Linked DNA regions of Pelodiscus sinensis. The protein of the gene in region 1 interacts with the protein of each later gene in a biochemical or structural test. Links are inferred from orthologs where the notes say so. Each region holds a gene or a part of one and is shown in the gene's direction. Other genes may lie near its edges.

Evidence for each region.
Region 2: the proteins of NHERF1 (region 1) and ABCC4 form a complex in vitro, tested with the Homo sapiens proteins (3 studies listed by BioGRID and IntAct, with this or other methods). The link is inferred for Pelodiscus sinensis from reciprocal best matches to the Homo sapiens genes NHERF1 and ABCC4.
Region 3: the proteins of NHERF1 (region 1) and ADRB2 form a complex in vitro, tested with the Homo sapiens proteins (3 studies listed by BioGRID and IntAct, with this or other methods). The link is inferred for Pelodiscus sinensis from reciprocal best matches to the Homo sapiens genes NHERF1 and ADRB2.

What each region holds. Positions count from the first base shown.
Region 1 is NC_134730.1:13,339,881-13,350,500, reverse strand, and holds the start of NHERF1 (Na(+)/H(+) exchange regulatory cofactor NHE-RF1), read left to right. Parts: upstream 1-5,864; 5' UTR 5,865-6,095; coding exon 6,096-6,566; intron 6,567-10,620. UniProt on the Homo sapiens protein: Scaffold protein that connects plasma membrane proteins with members of the ezrin/moesin/radixin family and thereby helps to link them to the actin cytoskeleton and to regulate their surface expression. Necessary for recycling of internalized ADRB2.
Region 2 is NC_134711.1:251,543,065-251,552,807, forward strand, and holds the start of ABCC4 (ATP-binding cassette sub-family C member 4), read left to right. Parts: upstream 1-5,709; 5' UTR 5,710-6,108; coding exon 6,109-6,182; intron 6,183-9,743. UniProt on the Homo sapiens protein: ATP-dependent transporter of the ATP-binding cassette (ABC) family that actively extrudes physiological compounds and xenobiotics from cells.
Region 3 is NC_134727.1:17,036,223-17,046,035, reverse strand, and holds the start of ADRB2 (beta-2 adrenergic receptor), read left to right. Parts: upstream 1-5,988; 5' UTR 5,989-6,380; coding exon 6,381-7,560; intron 7,561-9,243; coding exon 9,244-9,329; 3' UTR 9,330-9,813. UniProt on the Homo sapiens protein: Beta-adrenergic receptors mediate the catecholamine-induced activation of adenylate cyclase through the action of G proteins. The beta-2-adrenergic receptor binds epinephrine with an approximately 30-fold greater affinity than it does norepinephrine.

The sequences.
Region 1 (10,620 bases):
TTGTGTCTAAGGGTCTGAACTAATTACCTATTAGAGTTACTGGGCTGTTGTGGTTTTGGGGTTTTTTTTGGTAGGTATATGCTTAAAAAAACCAAAAAGGCCCAGGTCCTGTGGGAACTGAGGCACGGAAGGAAAGTCAATTTTGTTGACCCCCCTGGGTACAAAAGCTATGTCTACACTGCAGACACCGAGCACAGCAATATTGGCAAGAGGTTGATCTCTGATTGGCATAGCTATGCTGCTCAAGGTCTGTAATGTAGACACAATGACACTGGCAAAACTGTGCCGATACCAGTGTAGCTTGTTTCACATGGGCGGTATGGTACTGATGCAAAGCACAGCTTTGCTGATTGAGCTGTGTCTGTGTCCACACTAGGAATGCATTGCTGGTCTAGCACATCAGTTTTCCTACACCAGTAAAGTGCTCCCACTGTGGACAAGATGTAACTCACACTGAGGCCAGGAGGACGGCTGGAGTTACAGGGTCTAGCAGGACCTGGCTCAAGCCGGTCACACTGGCTATTATGCTCTGCCAGATGAGAAGAGACTTTTGTAGGAATAAATATTCCAGGAGCACGAGCCTTGTCACAGGAGGTCTCTGTAATTTATTAGTATCATCTAGGGCAATGCCCTGACGATGCTTAATTAGACCATAGATGGGAGGGTTGACTTAACACTGAAATGCTTTAACTAATAATTAATGCTCCAGGGAGGAAGCACAAATGTTGTTTGCCAAACCAATGCTGGAGTTAGACTGTAGAACAGCATGACTGTGTCTTTCACAACTGTGTCACTTTCTGATCTGTCCATTACTTGCAGGTTGTATTTTTTATTACGATGTTTGAATTTGCTATGTCCTATGCACAGTTCTCAGAGCTTCACATGAGCCTGAGCAGTTCTCTGGAGACAGAGGGTCCTGTTCTTTGTTTCCCCTTGACCCTTCTTATTTTGAAATCTCAGGAATGCTTTCTTCACAGGGTGCAAGTCTGTTACCTCCCCTTGTGCTCTGCCAGAGATTGGCATCACCGATTTCACCTCAGCTTTGCGTCTGTGCCCCACAAGAAAGCAGGATTGTGTGGGGAGTTGAAATGGCATCACATCATTATACTAGGCTATGTAAGATGCTGTAGGGCTGTCTCAAAAGGTAGCACTTCATTTGTAAGGCTAAGGCCTGGTCCAGATTTAGGCTTTGAATCAGAGCAGAGGTGATCACACAGGAGATTCATAAACTCCCAGCTTTGAATTTTGTTTGCATTTCCTTTTTGTCTACGTATATAATGCAAATCTTTCTCCCTGCCCTTGTCAGGTATCAGATTAAACCCACTCGGCAAAGAAATGATGCCTCATTCAGCCACCTCACTCAGCAAACACTTTGTATTGTGCTTGCCTCTGAATTTTGTGGGCTTCACCCTGACTCCACCAAAATCAATGGGAGTTTTGCCACTGAGATTAATGGGAGCAGGATCAGACCCTGTATGTTCTAAAATCAGCACTGCTGCGCGTTGCTTCATTTTACCCTTCCTTTAGACCTGCTTCTCCTGCCATCCATATCAAAACTCCCATTACATTTGCTGGGAGTAGGATCAAATCCTTTGTCAGTAAAATCAAAGTCACCCTAGTATCACATGTTATCACACTAGCAGGAAGCAATGACAGGAAAAAAACCCAAAATATTTTTCTTGACAATCTTCTTTACACAATTCACGAGGATCTGGCAAGTCTAGTTCCACCACAAGTGCTATGGAATGACACTGCACTACCATTCCATATGGGAATTTCTTAGAAGTCGCAGGATCATACACAGCAAGTCCATTCTCTGGCAGTCGTAGCTTCTCTCTCTATTATCATGGGACTCCTTTGCCTCTTCTATTGTTCACGGTTTATTGTTTGCAAGTTACAGAATTAAATCTCAGTATTTTGGAGAGCAAATGTGTCCACCTAGTTCTTGGCCCAAGCAATTTCCAATTCTTTAGAGAAGAGAGAGGGTGTTGCTGGCTGGGTATCTGCAATGCAATATTTGCTGGGCATTAAATAAGTACAGCACAAGCCCTGGAATTTCTGGTGTGCGTCTGCCTAGCCCCTGTGACTTCACTGCACATTTCAGAAGTCCAAAGGTGATGGGGAAGAGTAAATATGGTCTGTTAAATTAAAACCAACCTCCTCCCCCTGCTGTTCTCATGGTACAGAGTCTAACATTCCCCAAATACCTTTGTCTTCCCACCAATGGAATTGCTTCTGTAGCTAAGCTGATGCTTGCAAAAAAGAGAGAGAGTTAGTTGGCTTTTTCTTTTAAATTCTTTTCGGTTTTGCATCCTAAATTTTGATCTTTCTTAACCTACTAAGCAGCTGCTGAAAAAAAAAACTCCACACTGACTGGGAGAAACCAGGAAGATTAAGATACTTGCAGCCAAATAAACATTAGGAAAGCTGTCACATTCTGCTTTATCATCAGTGCTCAAAGTTCCTGAACTGCGGGGTATGTGGTGTGTTTCTTTCCCTCCCTCTGGTGAATTTCACCTCCCTCCCTCTGTGCCTTTCTAAACCCTCCCCTGCCAGAACTGACTTGTATTTCATGGCTTATAAAAAGATTCCTGAAAAGCACATTTTTTGCTTGAAGAATTCCTTCAAATTGCACTACTTTTCAAGAAGCTGTCTGTCATGTTTGCAAAGCATGTGTTGTGGCTGGGTCTCATCTTTGGTAGCCTACTGGGACTGCTGAGTTACTCACCTAGCTATAAAGAAACTTAAAACTTTTTCTAGTTCCAGACTAACTCGGCTACCCTTCTCTAGCTATAGAGGTCCATTCTACAGGATCAACATCGTAGGTTTTAAACCCACCGCTGATAAACTTTAAAAAGGAGATAATTACCCATTGTGATTCCCAAGACTCCTTATAAGGCCTTTATTTCCACTCTGAAAAATACTCTTACTTCATAAAGGGCTCTCCTTAGAACTAAATTGGCTCTTTAGTCCTGTACCTGCCTTCTTGCAGTGAAATGCAAAGAAGATGGTCCACTTCCCTAAGGACATTGAGTTCATCCTGCTGGAATTGAAACTAGCAGTGATAGGGCACAGACAGGTCCGCATAAGTCCACTTTGCTGGATTTCCCAGTTGACATTGTCACTTTAGCTCTGTGTCTCTGTAATTCTGTTAAGCATAGTAATTGTATAAACCAGGGGTGGGGAACCTTTTTGGGACAGGAGCCACTAACCCACAGAAAAATCAATCGGGCTGCACAACTCCCCCCCCCCCCCCATTGACATGGCCCCTGACTGAGAAGACACCCACATTCCTCTCACACACCAGCGTTGGGGGTGGGAACAAGCCAAGTAGATTTTGTGTGCTCCAGCCCTGTAGTGGGGCCAGAGTGTCAGAACCAGCTCCCCAATGCAGGGGCCGGATTCAGGCAAGCCAGGGACTGCATCTCGCCATTCCCGATCTCTGGTATAAACCAACTGTAGGGGGCTTCATAAAAGCTTCCATCTATTCCACAGGAGCTTCTGTCCTTGCATTTTAAATTATGCTGAAGTTGTGGTAGTTTAGCAGACGACAGTGTTCATATATGATGGAAAAAGGGTCCCCAAAACTGACAAAAAACTAGTTTTAATTTGCATTTTAATTCCTTTAAGAAAACTGTTAGAGTTTTTTCTGCCTCTCTGTTTTAGCTCAGAGGGATTTTTGACCAGGCCTCAGAACAAAAGTAAAACCACCAGAGGTGCTCAGACTGTTCACTTTCACTTTTCGCTCTGCTGTTATACAGGGCAGGGCCTGGGGGTGGGATGAGGCATCACCAGAACAGGAAACCTGAGGGTGCACAACTGGTGTCAAATGCACAAAGTAAATGTATGGGAGGAGGGGGAATGTCTAATTTGACTCTTGTTTCAAGTGCTCATAGGGGTTACAAGCAATGTTCCCTGTAATCTTTTCCATCCCCATGCAGAGTTTTTTCCAGCCATGTGTGGAATAAATTTGTATGTGCACCACAGCGTGTATAAATGTGCACCATCAGGAGAAACACAAACCTAGCAGTGAGCGCTCTGCTTATCAGCTTAATGGCATTTGAATCTCTCCTGAGTGGCCACACAAGGGCCCAGCTTACTGGGAACACTGGTTACAAGTTACAATAGTAAGTGCAGCATTTTCAGATCTGAATGGCATTTTTTAAGTTGACTGTCCCTTCAAATGTTCTCTTTTAACATGTTAGACTCAATTAAATAGTGAGGATGCTGAGAAATGCTATGGTTCATCATTGCAAGATTTCTGCATTCTGTTACCTTCACAGTTAAGGAAAGAGTAAATGAAGTCTTATGGGGTATCATGTGCAAGGGACAGTCCATTGTAGATTCTTAAATGTATCCCCTGAATAATATAGTCTCAACAAAAAGCTGCTGCTCCCTTTTATCCTGCAAAATAAAACTGCTTTTATATTGAACAGTGTTATACTTAGTGTTTATCATAAAGATGATGCTGAGTTCTGTAAATGGCTCTCTCCTGATGCTGTTTGGAGTGGGTTTTACTTACACAGGCAGCACTAACCTCACACAGCTCTGCGGTTTCCACAAAGCCAAATTATGGATGAATAGACAAAGTCCAACTAGCAGAGTTGCAAAGGGAAATTCACGGGAACCTGATCTGGAATTTTGAGAAAGAGAGAAAAGTTCCCAGAACCTGCCCTGGCACCCATACAACCTTTACCAAAGGGGGGAAAGTCCCGTGATCTGTAAAGCTGTCAAACCACATGCAGAAACAGACTAGTGCCCTCTGCTATGACAGCACCAGCTCAGAGGCTATTCAGAGTCCATCTTCTCTCCCCAATTTTACTAAGGAATTTAGCATCTGATATGTCTCAACCCACATGATTCCTGTTGCTTTAGTAAATACACAATTCGATTGCTTCTGGTGGCCTAGATTCAGATCTGTTTTTTGTTACCCATTGTTCTCCTGTTCAAAAAATGCAGCCATCCAATCAGAGAGCAACCATGTGACCGAAGTGAAACCCCATCCTACACCCCGGAGAGTAATTAGTCAAAGACAGAATTAAAGCAGATCCCTCACGAACAGCCCATCAGCCTGAAAGCGGTTCACAGAAAGGGTGCTGTGAACTGGAGTAATGAATTGAATGGGTGAATAGGACCCAGCAGTTGTACCAGAGCGTTCTAAACCCGAAAGGATGGCTCTAATTGCAATTAATATGATTAGCAATCCCACCAGTTCCTAATGCGTGTAAAGCCCCAAACTACCAAGCTACTCGGTCACCGCCTTCAGTCCGATCGAGAGCCACTTGAACACAGCGCTGCTGGCAGACGCTCCTGGGAGAAAGGACTTGTCAGTTGCCAGTAAGCAGCTTGGGGTGTGTCATTGAGAAACAAGGATAAGTCAATGAGTCAACCCGCCCTCCCTTCATCACAGCAAGTCTTCCGGGACCAACATTCTGCCCCCCCGAGGAAGTCGCGGCAGCGCTCAGCTGGAGGCAGGCTGCAGGCTGGATGACTCAAGGCGCCCCACGCCTGCTTCTCTTAGACGCCTTGTCTCTGGGGGAACGAAGTGCCCCAGCCCTTCTGGAGAATCTTCGCTCTTGCGACTTCGGGCCACTTCTGCTTCCGGAGAGCTCAATTTGCACGCGGGAGGCTGAGCAGCCTGTCAAAAAACGTGGGGAAAGCGGAGGAGCGCGGGGGGGGGGGGGGGGGGGGAAGCGAGCCTCTTTCCTCTTATTTGCATAACCCCGCCTTCTCGAGGTTTGGATCCACTCTCGCACTTCACGAGCCGGGTCAGCGCCCCTCAGCTCCTCCCTCGCCTAACTCCGATTGGTCCGGCGTCACCTCCCAGCCCCCTCTTGCCCGCCCCCTGCTATAAAGGGCGGTGACAGGCGCTGAACTCAGACAGAGAGCGGGGCGGGGATTCGGGCGCTGCGCTGTGGTTGTCTCCCTGCTGGTGCGCGCTCTCTCCTCGGGCCAGACCCCGCCCCGGGGACACCTGCTGCCCGGAACCTCCCTGGGCTTTCCGGGTGTCTTCGCCCGGCGCTGGAGCGATCCGCCCGCGTCCTAGCGGGGCTGCGGCGGGCTCCTCTGATCCCTTTCCCCGCTCCCCCGGGAAGATGAGTGACGGGGCAGGGAGCGAGCAGCAGCTGCTGCCCCGGCTCTGCTGCCTGGAGAAGGGGCCGAACGGCTACGGCTTCCACTTGCACGGGGAGAAGGGCAAGGTGGGCCAGTTCATCCGGCTGGTGGAGCCCAACTCCCCGGCCCAGGCGGCGGGGCTGCGGGCCGGGGACCGGCTGGTGGAGGTGAACGGCGAGAACGTGGAGAAGGAAAGTCACCAGCAGGTAGTGAACCGCATCCGATCCGCCGTGGGCGCCGTGCGCCTGCTGGTGGTGGACGCGGAGACCGACCAGCAGCTGCAGAAGCTGGGCATCCAGTGCCGCGAGGAGCTGGTCCGGGGGCTGCCCGCCGCGGGGCAGGAGAAGCCGGAGGAGAAAAGTAACGAGGAGCCGCTGGAGACACCGAAGGAGCAGGAGGAGCGGCCAGAGGAGGAGGAGGAGGAGACGAGCCACCCTGCGGCGAGGGTAAATGTAGGTTCTTTCTGGGGAGGAGGGCGAGCCTTGGGGTCTAAGGGCGAACTGGAGCGGGAGAAGTAAAGGAGGCGGGAGACCGCCACGGTGCTCTGTGTGTGTGTGTGTGTGTGTGTGTGTGTGTGTGTGTGTGTGAATTAGGCAGAAGGGTGAAGAGTTCGTGCAGGTTGGGGCTAGGAGGGACAGGTTCTCAAGTAGCTCGAACTTTAACTGAAGTGCCCCTTTTAAAGAAAGGCCAACTTTGAAATCTAGCCTGTTAAGTAATAAGAATCTCAAGCATTCCATTGGCCCATGAAGCACTCTTCCTGTTGCTTTTTTACAAGCACACTTTCCAGTCTTTTCTTAAAAGTTTTGGGAAAGCAGTGGTAGACATGAAAATGAAGGGCAAATGAGAAAAAACAATAATGGAAGCAGAAGAATCCAGGCTACATACCATCCTCGAGGCTTAAACGTCTCTCTCCTGCTGCCACATGATAGAGGCAAACGGGAAACTGAAAGTCACTATTCAAAGTTCGTGGGAGTATTCAGGGGTCCTGGTCCTTGACTGGGTCCCCTCTTGTGCGAGGTGCTGCACAAAGTAAACAAGTGTGTGTGGGGGGCCGGGAAGGGGGGTGTTAAACTTTCCCTAGCTCACTTTTTTCATAGAAGGGTAAGGCTTTTGTTTGCCCCTCTTAAGCATCTTCTCTTGCCAGTAACCACTAGGACTGCATGGTGCCATGTTGCTGTAGTTGGGATATTTGAAATAAGATTACTTTTCAACAGAATCCACTTTCCTCTCAAGCATTGCAGTGAAAGTGGTGTAATTACTCTTACAGATATGGATGAGAGTCATGGTCGAACAACGCAAGGACTATTGCCTTCTCGGTGCTCATAGGACACTAATGCCACCCTTGCGTGCATGTATGGATGTGAAACTGAATGCTTCTCCTGCTTGTTAGAATTGTGTAGCTCTTAGTTGGTGGGGAGGCAAAAGAGATCAGCATCTCTGTTATGATGAGATGGGTTATTTGTCCAGGGCCCTCTAACTAGATCCTCAGGCATCCCAAAGTTAATTCAAATTTCTGTGGGCTTAGAGTCCTAGATTAGGGTTGAAAGACCTATAGAAGATCATCTAGTCCAACCCCAACTAAATGAATGTCGTAGGTTGTCATAGATCAGAAAGAACCAGTAGCTGGTGGCTAATTAGGAGGTGGGGAGCTAGTAGAGCTGCATTATCCTCTTTTAAATCTCGCTCGTTCTTTTTTGCTGTGATATGGTGGGTTTTTTTTTTTTTCCTTTTAAAAAAGGTGCAACCCCTCCCAAAAACCCTTGACAGTGGTCAGGCTGCTGGTGTGCTCTGACCAGTTTTTCATACTGACCGGTATCTTGTTTTGTTCGCTGCTCTATCCAATTAAAGATTGTAGTAAATTCTTCAGGGCAGGGATTCTGTCATTCTGCAGTGTCCTGAACAATGGGAGCTGGACCTCTCGGTGCTACTGACAGAAAACGATTAAAAACTAAATAAAAGGGATGGGGAACTTTGATTCATGCTGACTTAAGTCTTGGGTAAATGTGGAGGGGGAGAAGGGACTCTGGAACTGAGACTCAGCATCCTTTACTTACTTGGGGTAGTTACTAATAGAGGCTCTGCCTTCATGACCTAATGAATATTTATTTATATAATCAAAAATATGTACCTTGTTGTGAAGACTTCATGTTTTCACCCATCGGTGGTCCTCAAAGCTGAGTTCTCTTACTTAGGAAGGGAGAGATGAAAAATCTGAACTCTTGAAAGAAGCAGGGTCACTCCTTTATGATCAGCATAAACTTTCCATGTATACAATTCTGTAGCTGCCATAGTGGGTGCATTATTCATCAGAGCTTAAGGGTGAGAGGTGAGCCTGAAGAAGAGAACTGAAGGCTTAATTATCAAACAAAGATGTAAATAGGCCAAAATGGCTCAAAGTGAGAGTTTGAACTCTCAATAGAACGGTGTTGGTCCGATGTCCCAAAGAAGCTCCACTCCCCAACTTCAGTAAATTGAAGTCTCAGGTGCAAACACTATTTTTCTGAGTTCCAGCTCTGAACCTCTAATGCTCTAAAGCCTGGTTTTTTTTTTTTTTTGGGGGGGGGGGGTCACCTATCAGTTTGTGTTAATACAAGAAAACAACCTGTAGCGGGGGTAGGATCTAGAGAGGTGCTGTGAACTTTAGACTTGGACTCTGTAAAAGAGCAATCCCAATTACAGGCAGGGTGTTAGCTGGTGTGAGGAGGAGGAGCAGGGTGCCCTTAAGGAGATAAGTGAGGACAATGGATGGACTTTGGTGTCTGCGCTGAGTTAACATTCTTACTGATTTCTGCTAAGGAGTGTTAATTCTGCAACTTCTCCCTCTATTGGACTTTAGTCTGCAGCTAGAACACATGTTCCCCTTTGGCCGCTCTGCTGGGAGGTAGCCTGCCAACTGCACAGACTGATGGGAAAATACCAGGTCATTGGAGCAGATGTGCTGATAGCAGGATTTTGTACTCCTCAGTTTCCCACAAAGGAGCCTGACAGGGCTGAAGTGGCTTTGGCCAGGGAGTGAGAGTCCCTTTGACTGGGGATGGGGGCAACAAAATTTTTGGTTCATCTTTCATCTCACCCCATTAAAATGAGAGGAGTCTTCTCTTGATGACCCTTGGGAGAGGAAGAAAGAAGAACACTGATGCAATTTGCCCTTTCTATAGGGGACAGAAATCTGGCGTTCCCTCCCACTGATCTTTACTATGTTGCAGCCATATCAGTCAAGTGGCCTCACTGCCATGATGTAAAGATCTTGTTATGTGCCCAGAGCCTTAGGGAGCTCTGAGTCCTGGTTGCTTTGGGACAAACATATTGTACCCTCCCTAATGCAGGCACAGCTCGGGCTTTACATTCAGGACAGTTAAAGCCACATGTCAGAATGAATTCTAATGATAGGAAGGAAAACCCAGCTGTGCTGCCAGATTCCATCAGTAGGGGTCTGTCAGACTGTTTTGCCACCTTGCCATGTGCTTTTAAAGATTCTCTGACACATTCTGGCCTGCATAGGGATGGCTTATTTTATGGACTATGGCAACAAATTATGCCAATCAGAGTTAGTTTGAGATAGGAACTTCTTATCAGGGAGGAATGGAGATTTGTTTTTGTGATGTGGGGGTGTGTTGCCCTGGTTTTCCACCACACCCTTGAATGCGTTGGGTGGAGGAGCAGGCACATGTCTTGTGTGCAGGGAGAGATAGGATCAACTGTTGTTGTGCTTCAAATAAGGGTCTTCCTAGGGAGTAATTGCCTCCCTAGCAGGATTTAAATCCTCTGATGCTTAAGGGCCATTCTCTGGTTTTGTGCAGTCCTTAGCAGAGGCACATTCTTTCCTGTCTTCTTCAAAGTACTGGAGTGAAGAAAATTAGGGGGCATCCTTTGAGTGAATCCTGTTTAACTTGTGTGTGAGATTACTGTGTGTCGGTCCGTTCCAAAGGCAGCCAGCTCTGCGTGAACCATTGTACCCTAATCCGTACTGCTTGCAGGGCTTGATCGTCCTGCAGAGTTACCAAAGCTGATAGGTTCCTCTGGATGTTTGTTTTGGGGGGGGGTGTGTGGGGGGGGGGGGAGGGTGTCCACTTAGCTCCTCATACTAGTGGGGGGGAAAGGGACAAATAATTGTGCTGTATATGATCTCTTTGCCCATAGCTCAGCATACCCGGAAGGCCCTGGTATGGCTAAATTATCTGTAGCGCTTTGAGGCTCTTGGATGAAAATCCTGTGTGAGCATCAAAATTATGCTGAGCCCTGAGGTCATTACTGTAGCACCCCGCTATGGATTAGAGCTCAGCTCTCAATGGATACAGCAGCATGACAAGACGAAGGGCGTTCATGAGTTACTTGATCTATATGGCAGAAGAACATTAACAGGGTGCAGGGAATGTATGGTCACCCACCAGGGATTCCACCTCTCCAGATAGTCACAGCCAGCTTTGAGTTACAAGGCTCCTTTTATTAGGAACTAGCGCTCCTTGTTCGGGCCATGAAGCTCCTGGTATCTTTTCCTCCTCTGCC
Region 2 (9,743 bases), on another chromosome or scaffold:
TGGTCCACAAACATATCCATAGAGCACAGCATGCAACACTGACAATACCAAGATGCATGGATAGGACTGTTGATGAGAGACACAATCAGGGAAGTAGCCCAAATTGTTCCTCGACAGACTGTATTTTGCCATAGAAAACATACCCAGACACTGATGGACCAAGGGACAGTCCCCACTCATTCCCTCTACAGTAACTGACTCTATTTAACTTCTCATGGGTGATGTACCAGAACATTTATTTCTTACCACCTAAATACCTGCACACTTAAATTTGGGTCAGTGTTTGTTATGTATCATATGAATCTTGTGACTTTCTGACAAAACTTGTAATTTTCTGTAATCCCAGATGTAGACAGCCTTTCCTTTAAACTTGTGCAATGTGACTTTTTTATTTCAAACATTTGCTTTAATTATACTAGGGCACTGAGAGCCTTGTATAGATATCTTTGTATTATATTTTAAAATGAAATAAAAAGCACAAGAGTTAGGAGAGAGAGTGAACCCTGATGGCTCAGAACAAAGCCTTGAGAGACTGAAAACAAAAGAAGGAAGAGGGAGAAGGTATATGGACAAGTAATTTTTTTTGCTCAGAGGATCATGGAGTCAGAGAAGCAGTTGATATTATATATTCTGCATCTTAGATTCTGTGTCTATCAGGGTTTTTCTTTTAGTTGATAAATAGTCTCTGAGTATGGTGGGGAAAGCAGAAAAAACACTAGCTAAAAGGACAGAAACTTCTAAAGTTCTGTCAATGAGCGTGCCATTTCCGTAAGCAATGTGTCATTGATAAATAGAAGAATCCCCTACATGTCACCCTCTAAAACAACTAGGACTTTTTATACACATGTATGTAAAGGAAACTTGGCATCATGCAGAGCCCCCAGGGCAGTGGTTCAGAAGAGGAAATGTATGTCTTCATATGTCATTGGATTAATTTATACATGCAAGGCCCTAAAATTTTTAAAATTTATTTAAATTTTAATAAATACAGGAAAAGCAAGCTCTGGATTTCTTAGAGAAGAGGATAAAAATATAAAACATACTAACTCTCAAATATAAAACATACTAACTCTCAAATGGGGAGAGATATGACCCCCACTTGGATTGACAGTTCCTATTTACAGAGCATGGGTGGAAAATATGTCACAGATCCATCTCTGCCAAAGTGGGCTCATAATCTGTGCTTAGTGCCTATTTAAAAAGATGGCAGAATGATGTGGCAAGGCCTTGGTGCATAGTTGAATACATAGTCTCCTGCCATTTCCTAAAGATGTCTTTTCAAACACATCTTTAAAACATCTCTGGATCACCCAGACATTCGAGGTCCAAAGTCCTAAACATGGTAAGCAGTCTGTCCAAAACTCTGCAAGGGTTGGACATTTCAGCAACAGAAGACAAATCTCTCATTCAGTGATGCTTCATTCACTTCAGTCCATCTGATCACATAAAGGTATGACTAGGGGAGCAAATACACCAGGAGAGTTGGAGACAATCAGAATGTCTAAGTTTCCAGAAGATAAAAGCTCCAAAGAACCCATCAATCCACATTCAGCAAAAGAATTAAGAACGTACAGATATTGCAGTCACTGATTTCACATTCTCTGGTATTCAGTTCTGAAACTCTCAAATATTCCAAGTATACCAAAAATGCAAGTTCAATTTTTGTTTTAGATGTAAGGTTCTGATTTCAACCCTGACCCAACGAACAGATTCCTCATCTTCTTCTGTAAGCCTGCTGCCAAACAATGGAAAGGGTACAGTCTTTTCTAAAATTCAAAGCATTAATTCAAATTCATAGCATTCATTTACTGCATACTTTCCCCCCATCTTTCCATCCAGCCCTTCAATGTTTATCCAGAAAAGTTTTTTTGCACTGATTTTCACCTGTTTGTGTTGTTCTGGTAATAAACACTGATAAATTCCTGGGGAAAACGAAGTAAAATAAAAACTGAAAATAAAGAGGCTTAGCTATACCATATTATGGTTATAAAAGTCATTGTGAGGATGAACTTAATTCACACTTTAAAGTTGTTTAAAGAAGTTCTGTTTGGCACAAGCTGTTCTTGATATATCTTGTAGGACAATCAATTTCAAAACTGTGTTTTACTCTTGCACATTCAGACTATAAAGTCTTTATTTATGTGCCATCCAAATCACACAAAGTTTATCACAGCAATTAATGAGGGACTTGAACTGAGATTTGGGAATAATTTTTTTTTCTGATAGTACCTGGAGGAAAGCTTAAATAAAATGTTTCAGAAGTAATAAGCAGTTATATTTATCTTATTTATAATTTTTAAAGTCTAGTGGATACCTTTAAGTATGAGGGAGGTGGGTGCTTTCCATCTTGTTACTAGATTTGCCCAATACTATGGGGTATGCTCATTTATTAGGGTTACTCTTATGGGACTGGGGAATTCTATCAATTCTATCAGTGTGCTGCTTGTGCTCTCATATGGAGCTGAATTCTCTCCCTGTTGTCAATTCCCCCTCCCACTGGAGCTCTCCTGAAGGAACTAGGTTCCTCAGGATGGGATTCTTCCCACCTTAGCAACACACACAGACACTCACACCCACTACCAGAGCATGTCTGAGAGGACTGGGTACTCAGCACTCACAAGCTGACCCCTCATATGTCCCTGGATTCAGCAGGATGGGTTAACAGCAATGCTACACTGCACCATCATGAGCCTTTAAACTCAGTTCGCTGGATTAAACAGCACTTTAAGCTGCCATACTCATAAGCCTCCAGGTTCAGCACCCCCTAACCCCACTTTCACACCACAGTAATTCACTGGTAAACCACACGATGAGCAAACCCCACAGGATTTTGGGCACTACAGGGATCTTTAGCTTGGGTGCAAGAAGTGTTGTTGCAGAGTGAATGGGGAAGCCAAAACAACACCCCTTGAGGAAGAGTAAGTGAAAGAGAAAGAAAGAGAGAGAAGCAAACAGCTTAACAATGAAAGTTATTTTTCTGGGTAGTGAATAGATATGAAACAGTTACAATATTAAATCTAAATTGAAACTGATTACAAATGTTTGGTAACCATATAACAGTTTACATAGGTCAGGGTCAGGAGACTATGCTTAGAGAGGCAGTTGGGGGTGAGGAAGGGAGAGAGAGAGAGACCTTACCACTCCGTGGAGCATGCACTGATCGGAATTCCCAGATGGTGATAGAAGCTGGGGGTCTAGAGGGCAGGAGATAAGCAGAGCAGAGCCCCCAGCACGATCAGACAGGAGATGATGAATTCTCAATGGAACTGATTCAGTTTAAATCCAGGTGTCAGAACAGTTTTTCTTGGGACAGGGTAGGAGTTTTTATAGGGATAGGACAATAGTTCAAAGAGAAAAAGAGGCGGGACAATAGAGACTGATCATCCCTGGTTATGGATGATGTTCCTTGAACAAACTCACAATGCAACTAGGCAGTTTCAATATTTTGGATGTCAATAGGTTCCATTACTAGAATTGGTCTGATAATGACTAATTGGGGTGTGAGCAGGCCTGGCTTCATTAGCATCTGGAGCAGAGATTTCCCATCAGGCAGTGCTTCTCTGCTTTTGGTATCCCATAGTTCAGTGCGGTTCTGCTTTGGAAGAGCTGGTCTCCATTCTGTATGCTAATAAGATGTCCCTCTGTTCTATCTTCAATGCAGATGAGGCTGGGGTGTTTCCTTAATTAGTTTAGGTGTATCTTCCCTGGCCTTTTCATTGCTTTGTCTGATTCTAGCAAACCTAGGAGAAGGGGAAGGATGGTTTTCCATGAATGTCACTCCCTGGCTCTCCAGGAGCACAGGGCTGGTAGGTAACCTGCAACTGTCCATCAAAATCTAATTAGTGCTTATTTGTATTTTAGTAGTGCAAAGAGGGGCTAGGTGCTGTACAAACATGTAGGAAAACTATGCTTCCCCTAAGGAGCTGCCAGGCTAAGGCAGTGGTTTCCAACAGGGAAGGTCCACAGACTATGTCTAAGATTTCCAAAAAAGCCCTAGCTCTATTCACAATTTTAGAGGCCTGCAAAAGAAAGAATCATAGAAGACTACATAGAGATTCCATAACTTCTCTAAGCAATTTATTCCAGTGATCCAGGGTATGTCTGGACCTTGTCCACGATTTCCGCACTAGGCACAGGAAAGTGGCCGTCTAGGGCAGGAGAGCTGCCAGCCTGGCCACCCAGGAGCAGGTGTGCAAGAGAATCAAGGGGGTCCAGTGAGACCCCCGTCCCTGAGCCCTGAGCTTACAATGGCCGTCCTGGGTCAGACCAAAGGTCCATCTAGCCCAGTAGCCTGTCTGCCGACAGCGGCCAACCCTAGGGACTCTGGAGGGGATGGACCGAAGACAGTGACCAAGCCATTTGTCTCGTGCCATCCCTCTCCAGCCTTCCACAAACCTTGGCCAGGGACACCACTCCTACCCCCTGGCTAATAGCACTCCATGGACCCAGCCTCCATGACTTGATCTCACTTCCCTTTAAACTCTGTTCCAGTTCTAGCCTTCACAGCCTCCTGCAGCAAGGAGTTCCACAGGTTGACTCTTTGCTTTGTGAAGAACAACTTTCTGTTACTAGTTTGAAGCCTGCTACCCATCCCTTTCCTTTGGTGTCCTTTAGTCCTTCTTTATGGGAACTAATGAAAAACTTTTCTGTATGCACCCTCTCCACCCAACTCCTGTTTTTAGAGACTTCTATCCTGTCCCCCCTCCGTCTCCTCTTTTCTAAGCTGAAAAGTCCCAGTCTCTTTAGCCTCTCTTCATATGGGACCTGTTCCCAACCCCTGATCATTTTAGTTGCCCTCCCCTCTCCCAGCCTCTCTCTTCCCCTAACCCACCTCCTTTTCCCAGTCTCCCCCAGTTTTGTTCAATAAAGACAGATTCCATTTTGGAAGACATGTTATCTTTATTTTGTACATCAAGAAGAGGGGCTAGGGAAGGGTAAGTGGAAGGAGGTGAGGGAGGAATGGGGCATGAGCCCCTGATGGGGAGGACTGGGCTGGCTCTGTGGGCTTCTGGAGGTGGAAGCTCTCCTGCAGCCTCCCAATTGCCCCCTCTCCCCAGATGGCAGCCTGTGGCAAGTGCAGCTGAGCTGATGGCTGAGTGGTGTGATGTGCCTAGTGTGGGTACTCCGGGCACTCCAAGCCAGGACTGCTTTGCAAGCGGGGCACCCCTGAGAACTGTCTTTCCGGGGTGGGGGTCGGGACCCTTTAAGCACAGCCCTCGGCTAGCCTGAGACAGCATCTCCACACTCTAAGTCCTCCTCTGATGCCCTGCCGGCACTGCTTCCGGCCATCCTTAACCTTGGTTCAGGGTCCACTTAATGTGGACATGCTAGTTCGAATTAGCAAAATGCTAATTCAAACTAGTTTTTAGTTCTTTTCTTGGGGAATAAGCTATCTCGAAACAGTTCTTTCAGGAGTTATTTTGAATCTAGTTATTTCAAACTAACTTCCTAGCATAGATGTCCCCTGACAATTAAGAAGTTTTTCCTAATGTCCAACCTAAGCCTCCCTTGGTGCCCATTTCCACCTCCTGTCAGAAAACATGATATAAAGACAACCAAGATGGGACTTCAATCCACAACTACAGAGACTGATACTTTATCCAGTCAGTTCCAGGGGCACCTATGAAAGATTATAACCCCACTGATCTAAGGTCGTTGCCCCCATGGAGCTGGCCTCCTGTGGCTTCCCGTTAACTTTCTAAGGCGCAAATCCTGCAAACATTGCGGCCCCTCAGGGGAGCTGGGCAGCTGTAGCCGGAGCCAGGAGGGGGCTCGCGTGTGCGGGAGCTGGAAGAAAGGAGGCTTATTGAAATCCTGCTCGCACTGAAGGCCAGGCCCGAGCCCCCCTGCCGGCGGGCGGTAGGTCTCCCGGCGCTGACCGCCCACGCTCCAGCACGTCTCTTGCCACGTCCCGGGGCAGCGCTTCGCGGGGATCGTGCCCGGGCGATGCCTGGCCCCGGCGGCTGCTGGCGGACTCCGGCCGTGCGAGGGCGCCGGGGCTGGGTGTCAGGTTTCCCGGAAGCGGCGCCGGGCTGGGGAGGCGGCGGCTGCCGGCAGCTGCATGCTGCGGGCCGGGCACTGAGCGGCGGCTGCAGGTGACAGCAGGGGATGGAGGCGCCGCGGCGGGAGAAGAAGCCCAACCCCCTGCAGGCGGCCAACCTCTGCTCCCGGCTCTTCTTCTGGTGAGTCCCCGGCCCGCGGGCTGCTCGGGCCGCCAGGAGCAGGCGTCGGAGCCAGGCGCGCACAGGAGCTCGCCCCGCGCCCAGGGTCCGCTCAGGGGCTCAGGCTCCCTCCCGGGCACGCGCTGGACAGAGCCGGGCAGGAGCTGCCGGCCGGGCTGGCGGGGGGGAGTGTGACCGCGGACAGAGCAGGGGGGAGGCTGTGCACATGGGGGGGGGGAGTGTGACCGCGGACAGAGCAGGGGGGGAGGCTGTGCACATGGGGGGGGGGGAGTGTGACCGCGGACAGAGCAGGGGGGAGGCTGTGCACATGGGGGGGGGGAGTGTGACCGCGGACAGAGCAGGGGGGGAGGCTGTGCACATGGGGGGGGGGGAGTGTGACCGCGGACAGAGCAGGGGGGAGGCTGTGCACATGGGGGGGGGGTGTGACCGCGGACAGAGCAGGGGGGAGGCTGTGCACATGGGGGGGGAGTGTTACCGCGGACAGAGCAGGGGGGGAGGCTGTGCACATGGGGGGGAGTGTTACCGCGGACAGAGCAGGGGGGAGGCTGTGCACATGGGGGGGGAGTGTGACCGCGGACAGAGCAGGGGGGGAGGCTGTGCACATGGGGGGGGGGAGTGTGACCGCGGACAGAGCAGGGGGGAGGCTGTGCACATGGGGGGGGAGTGTTACCGCGGACAGAGCAGGGGGGAGGCTGTGCACATGGGGGGGGAGTGTGACCGCGGACAGAGCAGGGGGGGAGGCTGTGCACATGGGGGGGGGAGTGTTACCGCGGACAGAGCAGGGGGGGAGGCTGTGCACATGGGGGGGGGGAGTGTTACCGCGGACAGAGCAGGGGGGGAGGCTGTGCACATGGGGGGGGGAGTGTTACCGCGGACAGAGCAGGGGGGGAGGCTGTGCACATGGGGGGGGGGGAGTGTTACCGCGGACAGAGCAGGGGGGGAGGCTGTGCACATGGGGGGGAGTGTTACCGCGGACAGAGCAGGGGGGGAGGCTGTGCACATGGGGGGGGGGAGTGTTACCGCGGACAGAGCAGGGGGGGAGGCTGTGCACATGGGGGGGGGAGTGTTACCGCGGACAGAGCAGGGGGGGAGGCTGTGCACATGGGGGGGGAGTGTTACCGCGGACAGAGCAGGGGGGGAGGCTGTGCACATGGGGGGGGGAGTGTTACCGCGGACAGAGCAGGGGGGGAGGCTGTGCACATGGGGGGGGGAGTGTTACCGCGGACAGAGCAGGGGGGAGGCTGTGCACGTGGGGGGGGGAGTGTTACCGCGGACAGAGCAGGGGGGAGGCTGTGCACGTGGGGGGGGGGGAGTGTTACCGCGGACAGAGCAGGGGGGAGGCTGTGCACGTGGGGGGGGGAGTGTTACCGCGGACAGAGCAGGGGGGAGGCTGTGCACGTGGGGGGGGGGAGTGTTACCGCGGACAGAGCAGGGGGGAGGCTGTGCACATGGGGGGGGGAGTGTTACCGCGGACAGAGCAGGGGGGAGGCAGGCTGTGCACGTGGGGCCGGGGGCCTTTCGCTGGGACCAGCCCCCTTCTCCAAGCCTAGGTCAGGTCCCGTGCGACCCGCTCAGCCGGGCTGCCCCGCGTCCTTTAGCCTCCCGCCAGGCCGCTTCTCGCGGTCCGGACGAGCCAGAGCGCACAGCCGGGGGCAGGCTGGTGGAGCTGCCAACCTCCGCTGCTCGCTGGGCTGATGCTGTGCGCCCGTGGGAGGGCAGGGGGGCGGCAGCGCCATCGCGAATAGGGAGCCTGCGATGCTCGCTGCTGTGCGGAATTGCCTCGTTGGGGACTGATTTCAGCCCCCGGCATGATGTTGTTCTGTGTAGTAAATGGAAAAAGGGAATGTGCTACTTGGGTCACAGCTTCTTGTCTGAGCCACCTGTGCTTAGGTCAGTTGTGATGCAAGTTGTCAGCAATTTTCAAACAAGCTGTTTCTTCCACTTACGCAATGAGCAGAGGCGAACCAGTCACTTGTTCCTTCTAACGAAATCTACCCTACCTCGAGCAAACTCCTGGTTTATTTTTTCTTTTTTAAATGAGATCCCTTAAGTAGCACGTGGCTCTCTGGGGAATCTTGCAAAGCAATACCCAATTATTAGCTGGCTGCTTCCTACAGTATCGTTCCTGACTATTGGTTGTTCCGTTTATCCTCTGGGGATCCACGTGTTGAGGCTAAATTTAAAGTGGACTGACTGCTAAGGAACTGCTTAGAAACTGCTTCAATTGAAGTAGGCAGTTAACATTTCTGCAGTAATAGGACAAAGGAGAATTAGTATGTCATGAATTGTTAAAATGAGCCATCAATTTGGAGTCTCTGGAGACCATCATCTTTAGCCACTGCCTTGTCTGTTTTCATTATTCAAATTGGGAGTAATTAAAAATATGTGGTTTAAAAATGTTTTTATTTGTGCTTCAGAATGTCTTGTGCACTAATACATGGTAAAACATGTACCCTAAGCTCCAAAACTACATCCCATGAGTGGCATTGGGAGGGAGATTGTGATAATTGCTGTTTTTCTTAAGTCCTGACTACTGGATTCATGTGAATACATTAGAATCTTTGCTTCAATTGTTTATAAAAAAGAAAGTTTCTAGCGATTGTAGTTGTAGAGAGAAGAATGGAAACGAGTCCCCCATACTTGGTACTCTAAAGTAGTGTTTTTCAAACCTGCTAGGCTGTGTATTCCTTTCTAAATAATTCAATCTACATGTACCCCCATCTGAGACGGGCAGAAGTGACCCATTGGGTGGAATGTGGGATTACATGCTCCCCCAATTTCTGCCTTTTTTCATCTTCTAGTTACAATTTTTTATTAACCCCCCCTACCCTGACAGATTGGTTGACAGTGGTCCCTCTCGTTCTTTCCATCCACACGTGGAATACATCTTGTTATATGCATTGAGGCATATGTGGATATGTATCACTAGTATCGACAAATGTTGCTGGCAATGATTGAGCTGTGGGAGCTCTGCTGATCAGCTGGGCAGCATCTGAATCTCTCCTGAGTAGCTCCCCAAACACTCAGTGTATGGGGAACACTACTGGGTGGGCTGCTGAGGTAAAGGAAGTAGAGGTGGTGCTCCCATCCTGAGCCCCACCGTGTGGGGTGGGCCTGAACTACCTGGCATTGCTGCTTGCCCCCTAGATGTTCCGCTGAGCTCCCGTGGGAGGGGGAGAGGAGGAGGGAAGAGGGAGGAGAGCTACACTCATGGGATGTAGTTCTGGAGCCTAGGGTACATGTTTTACCATGTATTAGTACACAAGACGATAGCATTTCTGAAGTACAAATAATTACAAAAACATTTTTAAACCACATATTTTTAATTACTCCCAATTTGAATAATGAAAATAGACAAGGCAGTCACTAAAAATGATCGTCTCCAGAGACTCCAAATTCATGGCTCATTTTTAACAATGCATGACATACTAGTTTGAAAACATCTATACTGAATATAATGTGTTTCTGCCTTTATAGGATTTTTCTCCCATACCTCCTGACAAGAGCTCCCATGCCCCTAGGGATATGTGTACCACAGTTTGAAACCCACTGCCCTAAAGA
Region 3 (9,813 bases), on another chromosome or scaffold:
TTCTTACAATGAGTCCCGGACCAATATAGACACTCTCTTGCGCAAATACTCTAACGTAAAAACTCTGGCGTTAAAGAATATTTGCGCAAGATCATGCCAACGTAGACGTAGCCCATGTGTAAAGAAGGAATGGAAAGAGCAAGCTATTAAATTGTCTCAAAGCAAGTGGGCTGCATTAAACAATTATGGACTAGATAGATCTTCAGCTGGTATCAATCGGTATAAATCATTGTAAGTCATGGAATTATCTTGATTCACTCCTGCTGGGGATCTATTCTCAATGAATAGAGATGTATTTAGAGTACAGGCAGTCCCCAACTTACGCGGATCCGACTTATGTCGGATCCGCACTTACGAACAGGGCTTTCTCGCCCCGGAGGTCGAGGTGGCGGATTGCTACCTGCGAGCTCCGGGGCGAGAAAGCCCCGTTCGTAAGCTGCTCCGGTGCCCCTGGTCTGCTGGAGACCGTCTCCAGCAGACCAGGGGCATTGGGCGGGTTCCCGCGCTTCTGAGGCTTTGCCAGAGCAAAGCCTCAGAAGCGCGGGAACCTGCCCGCTGCTGCCGCTTGAGTCCCAGTGCCTGTGGTCTGCTGGGGACGGTCCCCAGCAGACCACAGGCACCGGGACTGAAGCCGCAGCCGCGGGGGGGGGGGGGTCCCGCGCCTCTGAGACTTTGCCAGAGCAAAGCCTCAGAGGCGCGGCACCCCGCTGCCGCTGCTGCTCTGCTCCCCGTGTCCCTGGTCTGCTGGGGGGGGCGGATAGTGTGCCCCCCCCAGCAGACCAGGCTTTTGTTTTGGACCCTGGAGCAGAGCAGCTGGGGCGCTGCGGATTGGTCCTGCAGCACCCGCTCTGGGCACTACTGGACCAACCCGGCAGCACCCCAGCTGCTCTGCCCCAGGTCCTGATTCAGCCGCTGCTGGTCAGTTTCAGCAGTGGCTGAATCAGGACGCCTGGGGCAGAGCAGCTGGGGTGCTGCTGGGTTGGTCCAGTAGCGCCGAGGAGCGGTGCTACTGGAGCAACCCAGCTGCACCCCAGCTGCTCTGCCCCAGGCATCCCCAAGTCAGCCGCTGCTGAAACTGACCAGCGCTGACTACAGGAAGCCTGAGGCAGAGTTGCTCTGCCCCAGGCTTCCTGGAATCAGTGCTCATCAGTTTCAGCAGCAGCTGACTTGGGGAAGCTTGGGGTTCTTAAGTTGAATCTGTATGTAAGTCAGAACTGGCGGTCAGTTTCAGCAGCGGCTGTATCTGGACGCCAGTTCCGACTTACATACAGATTCAACTTAAGAACAAACCTACAGTCCCTATCTTGTACGTAACCCGGGGACTGCCTGTATTTACCCCATCTCCAGTGAAGTGAAAGGACTATTTTATCAAAGGTCACTTATGTTTCATTCTGTAATATGTGCATGCTTTGATTATCCAACCCCCATTCTTTCCAAAGGTCTTGGATATTTCCAGGGGAAACAGTTTTTGTACACATCATCAATTTTTATTTTTTTTAAATACTATTTATTTTAGTAATGTTAAAGATCCTGTGTTTAGGGGTGGCTTTTAACTACAAAACATGGGGGTAAGGTCTGAAAATATTTCCAGTAATGTGGTTGAGACATCCTAAGAGAAACCTCTGCAACACTAAGCAAAAACCTCACTGTTTATTTCTAGTTTCTAGCACCTTACTAACCCTTCTTTCATAAAACCACAGAACGTGTACAATGTAGCACTCTAACTATAGCAGGTCTGGGCTTAAACAATGCAACCTCAAGAGCAGAATTTGCGTGACATGGGACACCTAGTAGCTTTGAAGCAACAGGTTCTGAGAAGTTTGCTCACACCCCAAAGTCTTAGAAATGATGGATAGTGAAAGAAGCAGAGCAATTGTAGGCAGACTTATGTTGCAGAATGTAACATCCAGGGCTTTATTACTTTTACATTTAATTTTCTATTAGCAATGGGAAAATGAGACAGAATCCTGTAACCCTATGAATGTTTAATGTCTTGATAACTTTAAAATGTGATTCAACATTACTAATCCTTCAGAAATCTAAAGAAGATTAATAATCAGCCCTCTACCTCAAACCCATTTAATTATGAATAATATTTGCATTTCTATAGCACCTTTTATTCCAAAGAGCTTTGCAAATTGTGGGCCCCATTCTTCAAATGTACGCATACATTAGCAGTCCTTACATGGTAGTTCAGAGAGAGTGTGTGTGAGAAATGCAGCTACCTCTGGTGTGGAAGGCAGCAGTTACCAAGTGCACAGCATAATGCACAACTATAGACAAGAGGTGTATTTTAGACATGACACCGCTGCAATCTTTAATTTTAAATGCTAGGAGATCTTAAAGTCCGTGTACATCACAGCCCAAAGGACCTCAGATTTTAAAGTCATGTCCAAAAGAATTCACATGCTACATGGAATGTACTTTATCTCAGAAAAAAGAAGCGTTGAGTTGATATGGTTTCATTATAAATAAATAAGCAGATACTAAACATAAAAGGCAAAATTATCTCCTTTTAGATAAAAAGGAGCATATGGTAATCATTATTCCCTAACATAACAAACTGTTTGCTTTTGGGGAAAATCCATTTAAACTCAGACCAGCAGGTTAACCATGTTAGGAATATATATGGTCAGGTCAGGCATATTTCTAACAGCATTTCTCAAGTGTTTTGGGAAATCACTGAATACATTTGTTCAGTACCATGGTTTTACTGAAGATGGGTCACAACTCTCTGATTATAGACCAGACGTGCATTAAGGAGAAATCTTTGAAGCTGTTGAGAGAAATGACATTTGCCCCATGCATTTGCCACAAATAAATTAAAAGTTATTAACCTTTAATTTGAAAAGATTATCTTTTTAAGTGTACAGCCAGATAAAATTGTTACAGTGTATTAACAATTCCAATATAAACTGGCATGGGGAGAAGGGGGGGAGGATGAAAAGACAAAGCTATCATGTAACAAAGGCACATAACATTTCCTCCTTCTCCTTCTATATTGCTTTTCTCAAGTCAAAAGGTCTCTCGCTACTTACCAAGAAATTAGTAAACTGTAAATTGCAGCACAACCAGAGGAAGAAAAAGGTCTTTCTCCTAGTGTTCAGGACCTCTGGAATAGCTGAACTGTCCTATAACAGATTAAAAAGACTATATCGGTCTTTAATTGTATATGACCTCTGAGAACACAGATGTAGTTCAAACAATGTGTCTGAGATTGGTCCTCAGCTGGTTCAAATTTCTTGAATCTTTGATCCACTTCCCCTGCCTTCTTCCAACTCAGTCCAAAACACATGGTCCCCCTCCATCACTCTTCCCTGAAAGCTGTGCACTTCTGTGGCTGTTCAGGAGAGATTCCAATGCTGCTCAGTTATGCTTTTATGTTTCTACTGTTGGTGCACATTTGCACATGCTTCAGTGCACATAAAATTATTCCACATATGGACAGAATACTAGAATTGGAAGGGACCTCAAGAGGTCCAGTCCCCTGTCCTCAGAGCTGGACCAAGCACCATCTAGATCATTACTGATAGATGTCTGTCTAACCCGCTCTTAAGTATTTCCACTGATGGAGATTCCACAACCTCCCTAGGCAATTTATTCCAGTGTTTAACTACCCTGACAGTTCAGAAGTTTTTCCTAGGGTATGTGTAGACTACATGCCTCTGCCGACAGAGGCATGTAAATTAGACATACTGACATAGTCAATGAAGTGGGGATTTAAATATTCCCCGCTTCATTAGAATAAAAATGGCCACCGCGTTGTGCCGGCTTAGCTGTTTGTCGGCACAAACCGGCAGTCAAGACAGGGATCGGTCGACAAGGAAAGCCTTTGCTGACTAATCCCTTACGCCTCATAAAATGAGATTTACAGGATTGGTCGACAAAGGCTTTCCTTGTCGACTGATCCCCATCTTGACTGCTGGTTCATGCTGACAAACAGCTGAGCCAGCACAACGTGGCAGTCATTTTTATTCTAGTGAAGCGGTGGATATTTAAATCCCTGCTTCATTGACTATGTTGGTATGTCTAATTTACATGCCTCTGTCGGCAGACGCATGTAGTCTAGACATACCCCTAATGTCCAGCTTAAATCCCCCTTGCTGCAATTTAACCCATTGCTCTCCAGCCTCCTTTTTTTCTCTTGGATTTATCCCACTGATAGCTACAAGCAAGCAGATAGGATCAGAATGGAAACCGACAATGAGAAATCTGTACTGTTGTATCCCCAACACTAACAGGCTCAGACTTGGGGAAGCTGCCCTCCATTCCAGTTATACCCTGTCAGTTGTTCCTATGGGTTTCCATGACTTCCCTATGCAATGACAAAATGTGTCTGCTTTCAAAATAAAAACTGCAAAATATTAAAGAGCCAGATCCTGACATCTTTACTCCTGTTGACCACTACATTACTGTGCTGGCAATCCCAATGAATGGGTCCAGCAGGAAAATTTGCAAGAGGAGGCAGATTTGGGTCCTTGTCTCAAAGGGTACATCTACACAGCAGGACTAAAGTTGAATTAAACTACCCACTTTCAGCTATGTCAATTGCATAGCTCAAGTCAAAATAGCTTAATTTGGCTTTTGGTGCTGTCTGCACAGCAAGAAGTCAAAGGAAGAGTACTCTTCCTTCATCTTCCCTTCCTCCTTTTAAAATGAAGGTTACCATGAGTCAGAGAAAGAAGTTGACATTATTTTGAAAGAAAGGCTTGTAGTGTAGATGCACACTATGTAATTTCGGAATAACATCAGTTATTGCAAAATAACGCTGCTGTGTAGAGTACCAAAAGTATGTGTACATAGTCAACATAACACTGCTTTTTCGGCTTCTCTTTCCTATCCCTAGACATCGCAGTTAAATGTTGCCCTGTATTTTCTTCCATCAGGAAGGAAGTTTTCCTTACAGGAGCTAAATGATCTGGTTCCAGGGATCATGTGCTACGTTTAGACATGCACTTAAAAGGAGGGTGTTGCAAGATAAATGCTGTAATTAGAGAAACGAAGTCTCTTTGGAAGCTTAATCTGGCAAACAAAGTAGTTGCACCTACTGCTCTAAATATGGAATCTCGATACTATCTGCACTCACGGATCCGTACCCGCAGTAACTTGGCTAAACGTTGAAAGTAGTTAGGCAGATACGTAGCGGGCTCCTTGATTGTAACTACCTGCGTCTCAGCGATTGGCAGGGAAACTGTACAAATGCACCGTCTCCAGCGCCCCGACGTGATTTTAATTAAAGCTGAAGAACAAAGGCTAAGTAGTAGCAGGCTGTTGGCAAAGTGCCCTTGGGAGCTGTACACCAGCAGTCCCCGGGGCATCGGGCGGTGTCGGCGGGGGGCGGGCAGAGAGTATCCCGCCTCCTTCCTCCCTCTGACACGCAGCACCTAGATCTGCCCGTGCGGCTTCTCCCACGCATGGGGGGCTCTGCGGGTCCACTTCAGAGCCCCGCGGCCGCCTCGCGGTGCAAGCACACAAGGCGCAGCAGCCCTGGCTAGGGCGCGCCGAGCACCTCGCTCGCGAAGCAGCGACAGGCGTGGGGACGGGGCGTGGCGCACGCAAAACGACCCCCCCCCCCGCCCCCGAGCGAGGGTGATGAGGGAAACGGTGCGAAACCCTGCTCGGCCGCGGAATCCAGCGAAGGGGCCGAAGGGGCAGCGCGGAACGCACAGCGCCCGGGGGGGCGCGTCTGCCTCTGTCCACCACAGCGCCTGGAGCGAGCGGCCGAGACCTGGGCTGCGCGCGGCCAGAGGAGGGGGCGGTGCGGGCAGCGCGGACCGAAGTGCGGGCTCCCCCGTGAACCAGGCCAGCGCGAGGCACCCGGACCGGGCAGCAAGACCCGTTCCCCGGGCCAGACTAGCAGGAGCCCCGGCAGCCGCGCGCGCGTGTGTCCTGCTGGCAGCCCATTGGCTGGGGCTGCCTGATGTCACGACGGGCTGTTCCTATAAGCGCCCTGCCACATAACGGGCTCAGGACACTTGTAGCCAGGAGCCCGGGCCGGGCAGCGGCTGCCCAGGCTGGAGCTGCGGCAGGGCAGGGCGGGGAGGGGGCCAAGGGGAACCAGCCAATGCAAATCCCCAACCTCCAAACAACCTACCAGTGAGTCCAACTGCAGGAGTCCCCCAGCCCGGCCAAGCCGCCGCCGGCCTCTCTTGGGAGCTGCGGTGCTGGAAGCACCTAGAAGACGCATCGTGTGACTGCTGCAGGCACCAGCCGAGCACCAGCCGCCGGAGACAGCTAGCGCGTGTGGGGCTGTGCAGCGGGCAGCGGACGCCGGTTGGGACAGTCCCGGACTTGCCTGCAAAGCGCCAGCGCAGCTCGGCGGGGGTGGGACGCGGGGCCGCCGCAGGGCGCAGAGCTGTCGCCGCTGCGGGGAGGAAGCCATGGGGTCCGTGAGTCCCAGCCACGCGGGCAACGGGAGCAGCCAAGCGGGGACAGACTCCCCCAGCCTGCACCAAGACGTCTGGATGGTGGGCATGGGCATCCTGATGTCTGTGATCGTGCTGGCCATCGTCTTTGGCAATGTCCTGGTGATCACGGCCATCGCCAAGTTCCAGCGGCTGCAGACCGTCACCAACTACTTCATCACTTCCCTGGCCTGCGCCGACCTGGTGATGGGGCTGGCCGTGGTGCCCTTCGGCGCCAGCCACATCATGTTGAACCAGTGGAAGTTCGGGAACTTCTTGTGCGAGTTCTGGACCGCCGTAGACGTGCTGTGTGTCACAGCCAGCATCGAGACCCTGTGCGTCATCGCGGTGGACCGGTATTTTGCCATCACCTCCCCGTTCAAGTACCAGAGTCTCTTGACCAAAAGCAAAGCCAGGGTTGTCATCCTCGTGGTCTGGGTGGTGTCTGTTCTGACCTCCTTCTTGCCTATCCAGATGCACTGGTACAGAGCGGAGAGCCCGGAAGCCCTCGAGTGTTACAATAACGCCAGCTGCTGCCACTTCTTCACTAACCAAGCCTATGCCATCACTTCTTCCATCATCTCCTTCTACCTGCCTCTGGTGGTCATGGTCTTCGTCTACGCCAAGGTCTTCCAGGTAGCCAAGAAGCAGCTGAAGAAGATAGACAAAAGCGAAGGGAGGTTTCATAACCAGAACAACAACCAGCAGGAGCCGAACGGGAGAGCGAGTCACCGGAGAACTTCCAAGTTTTGCTTGAAGGAGCACAAAGCCCTGAAAACTTTGGGGATCATCATGGGTACCTTCACTCTATGCTGGCTGCCCTTCTTCATCGTCAACATCGTGCACGTGATACGGGACAACATCATCCCCACTTACCTCTACATCCTCTTGAACTGGGTGGGCTATGTCAATTCCGCCTTCAACCCCCTGATTTACTGCAGAAGCCCGGACTTCAGGTACGCTTTTCAGGAACTGCTGTGCCTCCGGCGAGCTGCGCTGAAGTTGCATGCCAATGGGTACTCCAACAGCTACGGGAAAAGTGACTTCCAGGAGGAGGAGGAGGACAATGGCTGTCCCCTGGGACAGGGCAAAACGTGTGAACTGCTGTGTGAAGAAGCTGGGCTGCCTGCCAGCGAGGACTTAGCGCACTGTAAAGGTACTGTGCGGAACGGTTGCGTGGAGTCCCAGGGCGTCAGGCATGGCACAACCGAGTCCGTGTTCTAGAGACGCGCTTTTACACCCTCCTCCCGCCCCCGAGTCCAATTAAAAAGGCACCAACAATGTAACGGTTCTTTGGTAGGGCCAAGGGACTAAACCTAGCAAGCTCGCTATACATATGTGGGTGTGCCCCGTTCGCGGGGGGAGGGCTTGTTTATTTGCAGGATGTACAGAATCCTCGGGCAAGGACATGTTTAGTTCCTCCCCGACTGAGGGTTATTTTAAGACTGTGGATGAGGTTCGTCCCCTGAGGAATGCGTGACTGCTGCGGTGTTCTTGTTCCTGTTTATCTACCTCATAGCTCTAGTAATAATAAGCAGGTGACCGCTGCCCTCAGACTCCAGCTGGACTCAAGTCCCTTGGTGACGTGTGGGTGTCTCACGTCAGAGGGCTGTCTGTGGAGCCTTTACTGCGGGACCACTCAGGGTTCAATTTCCCCTCCTCTGAGGAATGGAGGCTAAAGTTTACTTCTTTGTGCAGTGTCTATTGGTTTGACCTCCCTGCACCTGTCAGTGCAAAGTCCTCTCCACTGTCTAACAGTGGGATGAAGCTCTAATGGCTTCATACTAAATTCTGCTAGGAATGGCTCATCTCCCTTCCCTCCCTCCCTCCATCCCTATTAATCCCAGTTCAGATGGTCACGCTTCACAGTAGTCCAGAAATGATTTTCAATTGCCCTCCACTTGAGATCTACATTTAATTCTCACCCACACATTTTCATTACTGTGTATTATTGAAATCCCAGTGATTTAGCTATGAGAGTAATGGGTAATGTCAGCTTATGCTAAAGAAACTAACCCCACTTCTCCTTTCTAGAAGTTTCCTTGGTTAAGGATGTGTCTACACTGCAGGGTTTAACTTGAAATAAGCTATGCAAATTGAGCTACATCAATGATGTATCTTATTTTGACATAGCTTATTTTGAAATAGGGAGGGTCTACACAGCACTTATTTCCAAATATAGCACTCTTTCTCCAACTTCCCTTCCTCCTCATACAATGAAGGTTACACGCATCCAAGTAAGAAGTCCTCCAGCTTGACAATATTTTGATACTATTTTGAAATAACTGCCTGCTGTGTAGATGCGGACTAAGTTATTTCAGAATAGAGCTAGTTATTTCAAAATAGTGTTGCAGTGTAGACATACGCTAAAAGTGGGTTTATGTCCTGTACTTGGGACATAGGTAAATGTTGGCATCTAGAAGGATCTGAGCATAAATACTAGAGAATTAACAAGGATTAAGCCCATCATTGTTGGTGCTGGGTTTCTGTAGTTTACATCACCCAAACACAGGGGGCAGGGGCAACTGGACTGTTCAGCGAGAGCTGTAACATGAGTTAGCCCTTCCCTTCTGACCACAGTGAGCCTGATTCCCAGGCCACCACTCCTAGCTCTCCTGCCCTGGGGGTGACAAGCATAGCTAAGAAAGGTGGATCCGTCAGTCAGAACAGGGTCCAGCAGGTTTCAGCTCAGCAAGTAGCCCTCGAGCTGTTCCCAGTTACAGCCCTCCATCATTGGTTCAGTTTACAGAGGGACTCTAATGACATTTTAATGGAAATCTGCTGGGCAGTATTTTCCCCACTCCTAAAATTTCCCTCTTTTGCTCTTCCCATCTTTCAGAAGTGGTTATACCCGCTAACCCCAGTGCTACTGGTGTCATTCAACTGGCAGTCTGTCCTACAGCATTTTGTGTCACCTCTGAATAAGTGTCCCTCATCTCATGATGGCCAGGAACCACCATACGATGATCCAGATCACCCCATGCTGTTATAAAGTGAAATCTCCCCTCCTCCTGCTCCCACACACAGCCAATAAACCAGCACTTGAACCTGAATTTTCTTGTTGTACAAAAGAAAACAATGAAATGAATCACATGGTCAGAAATTTTCTGATGGAAAGTATGGTGCAAAGTCCTGCTTATGGAATAATCCTCTGGAACTCTACAGAACCAGCAGAGTTCTGCAGGGCTCTGAAAAGGTTCGTTTAGAATTTCCATAAAACTTTTATATGTTTAAAGGAAATGAGTTCATTTCTATAGGGATTTAGAACTGCTCTATAGAAATATATACAAGATATAGGTCTGTTAAATTTGGTAGGATGATTTATAGAAACAAATAAAAGAGTGTTCTCTATTACATTCTATAGGATTGTGTCATAAAAATAGAAAAAAACTTGGGGAATTTGGGAGAA